Linked DNA regions of Arabidopsis thaliana. The protein of the gene in region 2 interacts with the protein of the main gene of each other region in a pairwise test. Each region holds a gene or a part of one and is shown on either strand. Other genes may lie near its edges.

Evidence for each region.
Region 1: the proteins of AT5G07580 (region 2) and SRS7 interact in a two-hybrid assay, tested with the Arabidopsis thaliana proteins (one large-scale study listed by BioGRID).
Region 3: the proteins of AT5G07580 (region 2) and SAP interact in a two-hybrid assay, tested with the Arabidopsis thaliana proteins (one large-scale study listed by BioGRID).

Annotation. Positions count from the first base shown.
Region 1 is NC_003070.9:6,837,601-6,842,060, forward strand, and holds SRS7 (SHI-related sequence 7), read right to left. Parts: upstream 2,714-4,460; 5' UTR 2,232-2,713; coding exon 1,583-2,231; intron 1,189-1,582; coding exon 800-1,188; 3' UTR 520-799; downstream 1-519. UniProt on the Arabidopsis thaliana protein: Transcription activator that binds DNA on 5'-ACTCTAC-3' and promotes auxin homeostasis-regulating gene expression (e.g. YUC genes), as well as genes affecting stamen development, cell expansion and timing of flowering.
Region 2 is NC_003076.8:2,397,884-2,400,892, forward strand, and holds AT5G07580 (ethylene-responsive transcription factor), read left to right. Parts: upstream 1-1,842; coding exon 1,843-2,466; downstream 2,467-3,009.
Region 3 is NC_003076.8:13,935,567-13,942,416, forward strand, and holds SAP (Transducin/WD40 repeat-like superfamily protein), read right to left. Parts: upstream 5,302-6,850; 5' UTR 5,221-5,301; coding exon 5,014-5,220; intron 2,025-5,013; coding exon 891-2,024; 3' UTR 520-890; downstream 1-519. UniProt on the Arabidopsis thaliana protein: Transcriptional regulator involved in the specification of floral identity. Acts as A class cadastral protein by repressing the C class floral homeotic gene AGAMOUS in the external flower organs in association with APETALA2 and other repressors.

The DNA.
Region 1 (4,460 bases), on a different chromosome or scaffold from region 2:
TTTACATAAATTGATACAAGCGTTGAAGGTCTTTTTGTGATGAAATTTGGGAGTAACCTACTCTCTTGTTAAGAAAAATATCGGTAACAAATATTTTTTTTAATATTACATAAATGTAAACATAACAAATTATTCGTAAACTATGATGATGGTTTCCACTGTTTTACTGCGGAAATTGGATTGGGTAACAGAAAGTTTTTCTCTTATATATAAATAGATTTGAAATTGTTTGCTCAATGGAACACGAAACCTAGTAAAGTTCCTGTTTAGATCCGGCAAGCAAACGGATAAACTGGGAAAAAGTAGCTTCGAGTTCATCACCAGCCAGAAAGCTAATTCACTATCAAACCCAACCCTATTTGTATACAGAAGAAAATTAGAATATATTTTTTAAACCCTATTTTATATAGAAGACCAAACTTTTTGAAAATAATTCAGACATATTCGAAAGAAAAAAAAAAAAAAAGAAGTTATGTTGATCACATTGGGAAGATCAAACATTAAAGTAAACAAACAGAAGATCAAAATTTGAAACTCTGACATTAATTTAATATCTCGTTTATCCCCAAAAAAAACTTAATGATAATATCTCATTTATCTCTAAAACGTACGATGTGCATGTTAATCAGTACACAAACCCTAGCTAGGTACGAACAGTCACCATATTGTCCGACAACAATAAAAATACTCAAATAAATTATCTCTCGTACTCGTAGATAGATCTCTGGTAGTTATAAGAGTAGTTATAATTAATCACAAACGTAATTTAAAAGATTTAACATCTTCAGATGTTTTAATCTCAACACCTAGAAGATGCAAAGAAAGGCGTACCACCGGCGACAAAGGCGTTGAACGGAGTTGCCACCGCAGTGTAAAGGGAAGAAGGGTCAATAGATCCGTTGTTAGTGTTAACGGCGGTCACGGCGTTTGTAGTTGCGGCTGAAGGAGTTGAGTCCATGAGGTTAAGATGGTGTTGATGAGAGGTTTCGCCATTGAGGCTTGAGCTGTAACGGTGGTGATCTGACGATGGACCTTGGTCGTAGAGAATGCCTTTGAACACGTGTCCTCCAATGCTAACAGCCGTTTGATAAGCATACTCTTCGTCTTCATCGTCGATTGAGCTGACTCTCATACACCGGAAAACAGCCGGGGAACTTATCTCCGGTGGTAAGTGACTAGTCTCTAACCCTAATTTCATAAAACCAAAGAATTACTATAAAATTCAAAAACGTTTTGGTTCGTGAATCCAATAATCAAAATCTTTAAAACACATGACATAATTAACCATTGTTTATTTTTTACATCATATATTGAATAAAAATCGACTAAACCCTTTGTGTCGTCAGGTTTACCATAGAACAGTGACTAAAATCATTTTGTTGGACATTTATTCACAATCAAAATCAAACAGCAAAAAGAAAGGAGCAAAATCCGGTGGACATATATTCACAATCAAATCATATTGTTGCTTTCTTGACAAAACATTCATAACCAGATCTTCACATAAATTTGTTTTTAAATCCTTTCTAGATTTGTTGAAATTTTTTCTCTATGTTAATTAATTGAAAACTCATCGTCATACCTGAAGAACTAGCATTAACCACACGGGTGCAAGCAAGAGCCGAGCCACCACCACAACTGTCATTTTTCTCGTCCTCTTTGTCATCATCATCGTCATCCCCACCACCCCTTGAGTTAGCGTCTCTTATACGCTTAGCTGGCAAAACAGCTAACTGAGCCTGTCTCTCACGGCGTTTAGCAGCCGAGACCCACGTGCTCTTCACGTGTGTTTGGCAATCAAACCCTCGGCTCTTACAACAAGTACGACATCTCATATGAGGACAATCTTTCTTGGCTTGATTCCCACAGTCTTGGCAATTCATGTTCCCTTGTCTCGTTACCGTAAACCCTCCCGTTGAGGATCTCACCGGCTCATGATCGGAGACGACGTTGAAGTACAAACTCCGATTAGTACTCCGGTTATTGTTTATGTTACCACCACTCGGGACCATACCAAAAGAGTAGAGATTTGTTGGAGCAGCCGCATGATTTTGTTGCTGTTGTTGTTGAAAATATTGAGGAGGGAAAATCTCAAAACCCTTGTTGTTGTTGTAGATCTCGTCTTTGTATAGATAGAGATAATTGTTGCTCTTGTCTTCATTATGATCCTTTTCTTGATGATGATCTTGTTTGTTGTGATCTCTCCCTCCTAGATAGAACAATCCAGCCATTTTTTTCTACTTCCCCAACACAAAACACAAACAAAAAGAAAGAAAGAGGATTTATGAGACTTTTTTGGGGTTTGTGGATGAATTATTTTTGGGGATTTGTGTTCACCTTTTTCTTTTGCTCTCTATCACATTAATTTCTAGCTAGGCTTGGAGATGTGTTTGGTATTTAAAAGGAGCAGATTTGGGAGCAGATGAGAGAGTAATGATGGTGAGGAAATTTAAGAAACTGCTGCAAACGCCGCCAAGGTTTATTGCTTTCCTTCTTTTCTCTTCATCATTTAAGACATTGTCGATCTGTCATCAAGAACTCAAGCAATTTACTGCTACTACTGCTGGTTTTCTCTGTGGGTGAGAGAGAGAGAGAGAGAGAAATAGAGAGATAGAGAGAGAGAAAGAGAAGGAGAGTAAAGAGATGGAGAGTACTATGAAGATCTTCTTCTATGGGGCACTTTCTCTACAGTTGTCTTCCAGTTTCAATGAATCCCCATCACAATAAATATCACCAATTTTGATATCTATTATAAAATTAAAAATAAAATAAATAATATATATTGTATGTTTTGTTTTCTTGTTTCGGAACTATTATCATCAGAGGCTATGATTAAGTAAATGTCTTCTAGAGTGATTTGAAACTAATTAATTATTCCTAAAGTTATTAAAAAAAATCAGCATGAGAATTCTCCAAGAAAATCAAAATTTATCATATAATACGTTCTATATATATATATATATATATGTGTGTGATTTTATTAGTTCTTGTATGTCTTAGCAGAAATTAAATTATTTTAGAGAGTCAAATTTATCAAATAAATATATCAATCACGTCATCAAAATTAGAAAGAAAAAAAAAAAAAGAATCAGAGGTTACCAGGATAAAAAAAAAATTGTGATTTGGCGTGTTAAAGACCGCCCTTGTGTGGATTTTACCGGATCACTAGTTTTTGCCGAAGTTTTTGCATGTTTAGTTCTAGTGGGTGAAAGAAAAATCGCTTACCAAACGAACTATAGTTTAGTCGTATTCAAGTCGCATGTTTAAAGGTCCGACCGGCCGGATCACTCCGAAATCAAAACACTGGTTAGATTTAGAACTACTTAAAAAATGTTGCCGCTTAATCAGATGGTGTGATTAGCTAGACGGTCATTTGACATAATTTTACCTATGTGATGGAATGTTGATTTTTCAAAAGGTCCCTCGTGCGGTAATATTTTAATATTTAATTACGTCTTTAGCATCTTTTATTTTTGTCGGCAATTGCTTCATTTGGCTTAATCAAAGATAAGACACCACAAAAATACTATTTGGCTGAAATAAAATCTTACAAAGATTTGAAATAATTAGATCATTTTGGAAAGTTATCAGTTACTATTACTTTCACATGTTTTCTTTCATTATTTTGCAAATCACTAAATTGGATCGTAAACAATTATATATTGTGCTGTTGTATGAGAATTAAGTTATTTCAAACCTTATCCAACAGTCTCTATATTGCCGTTCATGAGATTAATGTGAACATAATAACAGTATAAGACTATAGCTGAGTTTCATAATTGAAACTTTAACAAGTGCTGTGAATATGCGGTTAAACAAAGTAATTATATAAATGTGCAATTTTTAATGAATACTTGCTTGACAGCAAACCCTATATAGTCTAAGTTTTAGGTCACGAGTAATAATTATCAACTAACGGATGGATAGGATCCATTTCGTTTTCCAACCAAACTACTCCATGAGATAGTTTAAAGGTTTTATAATTATAAAAATCATATATTTGTATCTGATTCAAAATTCATTAGATCTTTTATTGAGATACCTCTTATAAATCCGTGGTATAGTTAAGTAATTCCTGACCATATCATAGTCTATAAACTAAAGGAGAAAAGGTTAAACAGACACCTTTTAATTGGCGTGAGAGTGAGACCAAACAAGCAAATCCACTCCAGGGACTTTGATCACATGGAACCGCGTGATTTAGCGGCGCAATTTGATGTTAATTAGTATATAGCGTCATTTGGTATTTGATAAGACCAAAATCGACAAAATTTTAAGTCAAAAGTCAATAGTGAACTACATTCAAATGGTATATCTGACCCCCAAGAAAAAAAAAATCATGGATAGCTATTGTTAAATCTTCCTTGCTTGTATACAAAAATCGGTCTCAATAAATATATTACAATCAACGAGAAAATCAGATGCAAAACTAATTGACGTAACCCAGATTCATGAGTCAT
Region 2 (3,009 bases):
TTATCCGATTTCCAAATACAAGAAATTCATCAAACTTACACAAACAAAGTAACTAAAGCAATGCATTTAATATTGTTATTAAAGGTTCAGTAGCTGTAGTAGTATGTGCGAGATGAGTCACTTGATACAATTCAATTCATACTGAATAATGTTGGTGGTTGAAATAGAACAGTCTCTTCTGTTTGATGTTTCCGATCTTTTGTTTATTAGTACAAAAACAAAAAAAAAAATACTTCGTTTGCTATGTATATCAAAATCCTTAAATAATTTATTTTCTTACGCATAGATTATGGATGGATCATATTTTTCTGATAGGAGGAAAGTTCACAATTTTGAATTTTCACAACTGTTAGCTGAATGCAAAATACAGGTGAAATGTTCGCCGGTAAACTTTTTATCTGAAACTAGTTAAAACTAACAGACTCGGTAAGCATAAAAGTGATTAGCATATCATTGACAACCAATAATGGATGATGGCGCAAAGACATCCAAGTTAATCATAATCTATGTTCACATTATTATAGAGATTACTATTATTATTTTGGACAAATCTATGTTCATATTATTATTTATGCAAAAAGAGGGTGGATTAGGTTTAACTGTTGTGGAGCCCTAAAAATTAATTAAGAATCCAAAAAATCAAGTTGCTTCAAATCATTTCCCACCAGGAGAGGCCTACCAGGAATACAACTTGATTGAGCTGTCTTTCCTCTTTTAAAATTTATCCATTAGGAAGCTTTTCATATAATTTTTTTTTTTTTTTTGGGTATGAAAATAGAAAAGTCTTTTGAGATTAGTATCCAAAAAAAACAACGATTATTTAATCGGACGTTGTTTGATCAGAAATGGTTTACGAGAAAGTCGGCATATTATTCGATTTTTCATTATTTTCTCGATACATTTTTTTCATTCGAGTCTAATTCACGTATGTTAAAAAGTTATTTGATGTACAAATAATCCAGATTATTCGACCTAGTCGTATCAGAGTTTCGAGATAAAGTTGTAAAGTTGGTTAGAAATCCTTATGATATCAATAGATCAAATAACCCTAGTTAAAGCATCAAAAAATCAAATCCACCTACGTAAATGCTTAGAGTTACACTCAAATTTTGATTTTTTAATGACATCTCTTCATATGCAGAGATTGTTTTTATGTGGAAACACATAGACTAAATGGCTTATCTTTAAATAGAAAGTAAAAGAGTGGAAGTGAAAGAAAGAAAGAAAAAAAAAAACCAATTTATTTGTCATTTATTATTCTACAGAATGGCAGAATGACTATGTAAAAATTTGATTCTGTGAAATTTCGTCATTATGCATAATACCAATAATTATAAATAGCGAATAAAAACAAAAACAATAATGGGATGTTTAGCAAAAAAGAAATAAAAAAGCAGTGCCGTTGAGAATCAAATGGTTTTTAGTAGTCAGCATCAAAGGTAAAAGACAAGTTGAGCATAAATCATATGAGAAGATTCATCGTTAGAACCAAAATGTAAAAAAGAAAGAAAAAAGCTTAGCTTTTGATTACAGTTTTGTGCAGTGTGAAGTGTCACATCACACAACAACTTGGGTGAAGGAAGGTCCTTTCAAAAAGTTGGACGTTGTCTTCATAAATTTGTATTAATTGATCACAGACTCATGACCCCATCTCTAAAACCACTAAGAGAGCGACAAAACCATAGCTTTTTTTTTGTGTCCCTACCCCATCCATGGCTGCTAAAATCTTGTGATTACCTTCTTGTCTCCTTCCTCTTCTCTTTCCCTCTTTTATATAAGAACCAAAACATCCACAGCTTTTGTTCCATCATCACTTGCAGATTCTTTCTCTCTTTCGTAAAAATGGCGAGTTTTGAGGAAAGCTCTGATTTGGAAGCTATACAGAGCCATCTCTTAGAAGACTTGTTGGTTTGTGATGGTTTCATGGGAGATTTTGACTTCGATGCTTCTTTTGTCTCAGGACTTTGGTGTATAGAACCACACGTTCCTAAACAAGAACCTGATTCTCCAGTTCTTGATCCGGATTCTTTCGTCAACGAGTTCTTGCAAGTGGAAGGGGAATCATCATCATCATCATCACCAGAGCTGAATTCATCGTCATCAACATATGAGACTGATCAGAGTGTGAAAAAGGCAGAGAGGTTCGAAGAAGAAGTAGATGCTAGACATTACCGAGGAGTGAGGCGAAGGCCGTGGGGGAAATTTGCAGCAGAGATTCGAGATCCAGCAAAGAAAGGATCAAGAATCTGGCTAGGAACATTTGAGAGTGATGTTGATGCTGCAAGAGCCTATGACTGTGCAGCTTTCAAGCTCCGGGGAAGAAAAGCCGTGCTCAACTTCCCTCTTGACGCCGGGAAATATGAAGCTCCAGCGAATTCAGGAAGGAAAAGGAAGAGAAGTGATGTGCATGAAGAGCTTCAAAGAACTCAGAGCAATTCATCTTCATCTTCCTGTGATGCATTTTAGCATATTAAGAGTGTGAGCAGTTTCCTTAAGTTGTATAAAGTAATTGTACAGAGGAAACGAATTGTGTAGGTTTAGTGTGCTTGCAAGTTGCAACAAATGTGTATGGATGTTCTGTTTCTTCATGTCCCTAAGATTTAGAAACATCTTCTTATTTCCAAGAAAGTTATTCAGTTTCCAGGTCTCTAAACAACCTAACTAGTTATTAGATGTTGTAATCCATTAGTCAATGGTTTATGAAACAATCAAGTTCTCAATCTCACACATAGAAACTTCACTAAAACAGCTACAAAAAGTGAGTGTACCAAGAGGAGAAGGGGAAGTGAATCAAGATGAGCAAGTTACATGAATGTAGCAGGCTAGCAGCAATGTTTGTCTTCATAGGTTAGGTACAAGTCAACACTCAGTGATAAAGGAACTGGACCACAAGCTACAGAGACTTGAAAGAGAGATGCACAACTTGCAAATGCAGAATAAACAAGTCAACACTCAGTGATAAAGGAACTGGACCACAAGCTACAGAGACTTGAAAGAGAGATGCACAAC
Region 3 (6,850 bases), about 12 Mb from region 2:
TCGTTTCTAAATAACATGTTTTAGATCCTAACTGTTTGTGTTCTTATGTGATGGTTTTTTAGGGACCGGTAGGTACAACGTGACTCATTCTTGTGAGAATCCAAGTTTTGAACTATGATTTAAAGTCACAATATATGGTTACCATCTCAAATTTTATGTAGAGTGCAACTTTTTCTTGAATTGGCGTGTGTTTGGTCTTCTCGAACTTGCTTCTAACGCTATTTCAAACTTGGAAAATTTTGATTTTCACTCTTTATCATCTTGTTTGTTCAATGAGATTAGCCGTTTTGTTTGTATATTGGGTGTGTCCAATTATGCTCTTTTCTTATGTTATTGTTTATGAATAACTTGTTGAACATTTTACTTATCAATTCACTCCAATATATCCTAAAATTGGGATATGCTCAAATCACATCTAGATCTCATGATTCATATTTCTATACCATTCTTTCGATTTTGATCTTGTTTCTGTCTACACCTCCTGTAAAATATATTTTTTACACAAAATGTATTTAAAACCCATTATACAAAATAATAAACTCCAGTAAAGTGAAGAATTACAAGTAGAAGAAAAAAAAAAGACATCTCGTACAAAGTCAGAATTGAGAGAGCCCTAAACACAAGGAAAAAAACAAGAACAACAAGAAAAAGTCCACTTTGTTTGGTTTTAGACAAAAACAGTAACTTACTTTTTTGGTCAAACTCTGTAGAAAGAATCAATCTCCCTTGTAAATCTCACCCTCCTGTCACCATCTTCCCTCCGTCACTTTCCCAATTTAATTTATAATCAGAAACCCTACATATACACCTAGGTTTAGGGTTTCGCTTTTTCAGAGAAAAATAGTTTCTTTTTCTTCAAGTTAAAAAAAAAAAATTATTAATCTGGTACGCTACAGTGCACCGAAATCCCATAGATGTATAATACTCTGAGCCGTTGATGAAGCTGACGCAACCGCCACATGTCTATCATCGGCAACAATGGCGTCAACTTCTCCTACTCTCTCCCTAATACTGTACAGATACTCTCCTCTCTCTACCTCCCACACGCGCATTATACCACCTGCGCACATTAGCGCGTGCAGTCTATTAACACAACCCATTACTCTTCTCTGCGCCGCTCCACTAACACGGAACTCACACACCGTTTGTTGCGTGTTCACCCTTCGCACGCTAGCGTTTCCTCTACTGTCCAATCTAACGTACGCTTCGTCGTTGGCATCGAAGCCTGTCACTATTAGTCCTCTACGTTGCTCTTCGTCTTCTCCGATGATCACTCCTTGGTTTCTTAGATCGATCACCATGATTCTCCATCTCGTGCATGCTACCGCCGTCTCGTTACCGGAGATTCTGAGACGGCCAAGGGACGTTGTTAGCTCTGTTAACGTGTGCCATCCCATGACAGCTTCAGGGTCGGTGAGTGTACCACCGACGAATGTTGTCTCTTCGCTGTTACAGTCCCATATGTGAAAGGCACGACCTGGCACACCCGCGAAAAGACCGACCCACCAACGTCCACAGCCAGTGAAATCTACCAACGCACCGTCGTTAACTATATCTCCTGCGTAAGCCGTGCGTGTGTGACCAACACCGTCTATTTCCGCCACGTGGATGTCTCCGTCCATCGTAGCGAACGTGAGCCTTGAGTCGGAGATAACAATGCCTGAGACGGCTCGTGAGAATCTACCAAAGCGGTCACGTAGAGGTGGCCGTAAGGTCCTGACGTGGAGTCGGTTGTTTAAAAGAAAAAGCCGGACGGTTCCGTCGGCGAACCCTGCGGCTAAGTAGAGGTCTGAGAGGGTGAGACAACGGCAAGAGAGACTATCAGGCTCGTCCACATCAGACGGGTCAAATTGGAGAGTGAAGTAGGTGTGAGTACGCGTCCGGAAGTTTCTAGCCGTCCGATGACGGTAGATGAACTCGTCCCGCCACGTGTCGTGCATCAAATGTGTTCTTGCCCAAACTTGGCGAGATAGTAGTTGCCATAGATGGTCGGAGCGAGAGACAGCGTGCCACGTGGTGCAAACCTGCGATTAAGAAAAATTATTATAAGTTTTAACAAATATTATAATTAGTAGCTTAATTAATAAATGTATAAATAAGGGAGAGAGTAAAAAAAGACATAGAAAGAAGATAAGTAGGCCTGCAACGAAGCATGAAAGACTCTATATATAGGGACTAGGAAGATGGAAAGACAACGACAGACTCAGACACAAGCTCTGCGTAATATTTGTCTTACTCATCGAAACACACAACTCATTTTTATAAAAATCTATTTTATGACATATGTTCAATTGACGGGACTAATCAATCTCTGGAAGCTATAGATAGAGATATAACAACAGAAGCCCTAGTGTAAAAGGAATAATGAGAGGAAGCCCTAGTCCCATGTCAAAAGAACAAAAAACAAATCAATGTGACAATAATACAAAACAGATGATATGTTAATTTATTAGGACAGATGAGAAGACTTTAAATGAGTTAAGCTGAACATGAGATTCCGACTTTGCCAACAAGCGTGCCCTTCTCTCTTTCATTTCCAAGAAAGGATAGCTTTTAAGCCTTTGGTCTTGTTAAAAGTAGAGCTTCCCATAAATACACAAATATTACACTTATATATAGTAGATGTTTCTCTGTCTCTCTCATCCCTCTCCAACAATCCGTGGACCTACATTCTCTACATTTACGTTTATATTGTTATTTATTGTACATCTTTATTCCTCATTAAACGCAAAGTAATGTATTTGACTTCGTACTCTAGCTCTATAGTACAACCTAAAATCAAATATTTCGAATTCTATACGAAAAGAAAAGATATCTTGTCAAACCAAAGGTTTAATGTCTATTAGTCAGATAATCATTATAAAAAAAGAATAATCTAGGCACTAGGGCACGAAATGTAACATAAAATAGATTAGTACAACAAATAACATATGATGGAATGGCAAATCCTATTTATTATTATGCAAATTACCAATCACATCAATATGATATACTTCAAATAAGAAGGGAAAGAAAGTAGTTCAAATATTCCTGAGTTCTAAGATGACCAGATTCAGAATATCACTTTTGTATTTTAATGTGTGATATATCAAATGTAAGAACATAGTATATAATCTATAGACACCACTGCACGTGCTCTAAGAGACCCTTAACATTGGGTTCCATGTGCTTTTCGGCATATGTATGCCCATAATGTCGTCTCTTTTGACTGAAAAAAATTAAGGAAAGAAAAAAAAAAGATAAAAACCCACTTCAATGGAAAAGATGAATCGAGTCAGGAAAAAAGATAATTCCATGATCAATTTCAAAGTAAAAAACAACAATGAAAACTCTAGACTTATAGCCTTAATTCTCTGACAAAAGTGTTATGCTGTAACTACACTGCAGTTTCTTAAAATTTTAGGGCAAATTTGAAAATTCAATTAATTAGAAAATATTATGGGATTTAATAATGATTTAGAATTATCATGTATACATAGAGAAGTGAGATAAAATAAGAGAATGAGAAGTTGTCAGAAGCTCTGCATGCATTACTCAGTGGATCATAATATTGGCAGAGAAAAAAATAACAAAAGCAGGACGCAAAAAATGTACATATGTACTTATATACTATTCCTCGTTACTATATATGAGAAAAATCTTCAGCATAATATATATATGTATTATTTGTTTTTTTATGAACAAAAGAAAAAACAGCTATTTTCATATATAACATAGGATTATTAAAAAGAATAATATGAATGCCTGATATAATACATGGATCATATATCTGTTGATGAATAGAGTTTTCATGTATGTAGAAAATAACCTAATGTGGTAATATAGGACTAACATTGGCAAGGCAAAAAGACAGGACCTTACTTAGGTTTCTTTTCATTCTCTTTTTAGATGTTGTTAAATGTGCAACGACATTTTCTAGTTTTATGAGTCTGTCGTGAGAGGTCACTTTCTATTATTATAATTTTAAAACAATTAGCAGATAAATACCGTTATAATTATAATTCTAAAAAATATTAAATCTATTGGGCATTGGACTAAAGACTGTGCCTAATGTCTATCAACCAATATTTGGAGACAAGAAAGTGTTTAATTTGATTATTATTGTAAGAACTTTTGAGTCAAAAAGTGGATTTCTTGATCTTAAAAAAGGGCTTTCTACATGCCAAGAAAGGAAGATTTAAAGCCAATAAAATAAAATAAAACCTTGATTTTGTGCCCTAAGGGATCCAATTCATAATATAATATTAATATTAGAGTTACTATGCCCAAATGTTGTACAAAGATTACACAAACGAGATGGGGTTGTATGGTCTCCTTAGAGGATCCAAAAATAGACATTAAAAGGTATCAAAAGTAGACGAGAGAACAATGAAAAAGAAATAAACTTATTGGGTAAAAATGGAAGACAAAAAGTTTCTAAATACATAAAAGAAAAACAAAGTCCCCAAACTATATGATATGTGAAAGAGACATCAAATTAATGTCGTCTTGTTAGACATAAAAGTTGGACTTGGACCCATCATAGAAACACAGAAAGGGCGGTTACCTTTCCAAAGGTCAGTTTTTTTTTTTTTTTGTCTCTTCAGAATCCCAACCTTACAAACTAATATCACATTCAATCGAATTGAAGTAACATCATCACTTAATTATGATCTAAAGAGTAAGAATTCGTTATACCAAAAAGAATTAGAACGGCAGAATCAAATCTAAGCTTAGAAACAACTAAAGTACAAGACACTTGAAACAAGCAGTACATTTGACTAGACCAAGATTGTGTCCCTCCACTTAAGTTATTATAGACCCACGACTACTTTGACTTTGTTTTGTCTGCATAAGATCTATGTCTCACTATTTTCAAGTTCAAATATAAGCTAATAAACGAATTCAGATAGTGTAACGAAAATATTACTTTACTACCTGAAGTACATATATATATAGAGAGACACGAGATAATTGATGTGTCTCGACCGTTACAAAACTAAAAGAAGGTATTCAAAGAACGTTAGAACTGACCCGAAAAACGTTGGCAAGAGCCGGAGCTGCGGCGAGGAGGCCGGCGGATGTGGAAGCGTTAACGGCAACTTGAACGGCGAGAGATTCAAGAAAAGGCTCCGGCCAAACATCGTTGGCTCCGCGGCGAGGGCGGGATGGAGATGGGGCCTCGAAAACGCCGCCGCTTCCACCGGCTCCGTTGTCGGAAGAAGAGGAGGAGGTAGACATGAGACGAGAGGGGTTATAAGAGGAACAGGGGAAGAAGAAGAAGCGGAGAGAGGAGAAAGAATGGTGGGGGAGAGAGGAAACAAAGGACAAAAAGTGTAGATAAAGACATACTTCTCCGAGGTGGGGGACCCAGGTTGTGAAGGTATGTTTTTTTCCTATTTTTATTTTCTTTTGTCAAGATTTGTTATTATTTGTTTTTGTTTATTCTTAATAGATGCAGATTTGTTTGTGAAATAGCTTCAATTTTATATTTTTTAGGAAAAGTATTGGTTCAGTATGGTGACATATTTCAAAATTTCTTTCTTTTGATATGCAGATTTTGAATTATAATGGCAATATAACAGCTATATTATTATAAATCACTAGATTTATATTTTGACGATTTTTTATATTTAAAATAGTGTTATATATCATTAAGAATTCAACAATATATTTGCTAAGTTTATTTCCTTCCGCGAACATTAGTAAATTTTTTGTATATGGTAAACTATTGGCTAAACACAAATATTTGTAGATCGATCCATTTTAAAAATGAGAAATAAAATAATATGTATACGCAAAAAATTTGTCAGAGAGATCAAACTCGTAGCACCAAATCTCGACTTTCATACCAGTAGTAAAAACTTTTAAAGCATAGTTTAACATATTTTTTTTTCCCAACATACTATTGTCATTATAAGTAAATAATTTTTGGAAATCTGGTTAAGCATATTCTTATCATTACAATCCTCAAACCTAGAATTCGCCATATTCTGTCATCACAAAACTTAACCCTACTTTTTCTCATATTGCAGCTATCACGATCCTCAAAACCACGGTTCATCGTGAACTTTAGTCCAAACTCATCACAAACCAACACATGAGCATGCGATGCTTTTAAGTTTATTCCTCAATCTAAATATAGAAATATTTACATTTTCTGAAAATTATTCATATATATAGTGCTTTTATATAATTACAATTAACATTTTTGATTAGTATTTTTTAGTTAAAACATTTTTATTCTTTTTTAATTAAAAATAATTAACGAAATAATGATGAATCACGTTATTAAGAGAGAAAAAAAAATAAAGCCACATTATTAACGTCACTAAGAGGAACATTTTGGTTTTCCTCCCAGACATTGTTCATCTTGGGAAAAAAAAATGTCTTCTCTTTTACTAGGTGTTTATCCGAAAACGAAGAAAACCTATTTCTCGTGGCTATTCTCTCTTTCTCTCGTCTCTTCCGCCCGAAACTTTTAACGTCGTTGTCATCGAGTCACATTTCGTCTCAACTCAACTTGTTTCGATATGTGTCAAATCTTTATTTCGATTTTTCCGACAATAATCAGACATCTAAGTTCAATAGCAAGTGATTCCCATGATTAAAACCATTTTCTAAAACCACTGTTATGATATTGATGGTTTTTATCGACGCTTATTACGGCTGATTTTTGCCGTCGATTTACATATGGTGGCTGATTTGTTATTTCTATTCGATTTGATGGCTGAGTTATTGTATGCTTTAGGACTGATTTATGATTTATTAATGCATATGTGGTTGAGTTTGTTTTGTGTTGTGGCTTGGTTACTGTATGTTTTATGACTGATTTATGATTTATCAATGCATATGTGGCTAGGTTTGTTTT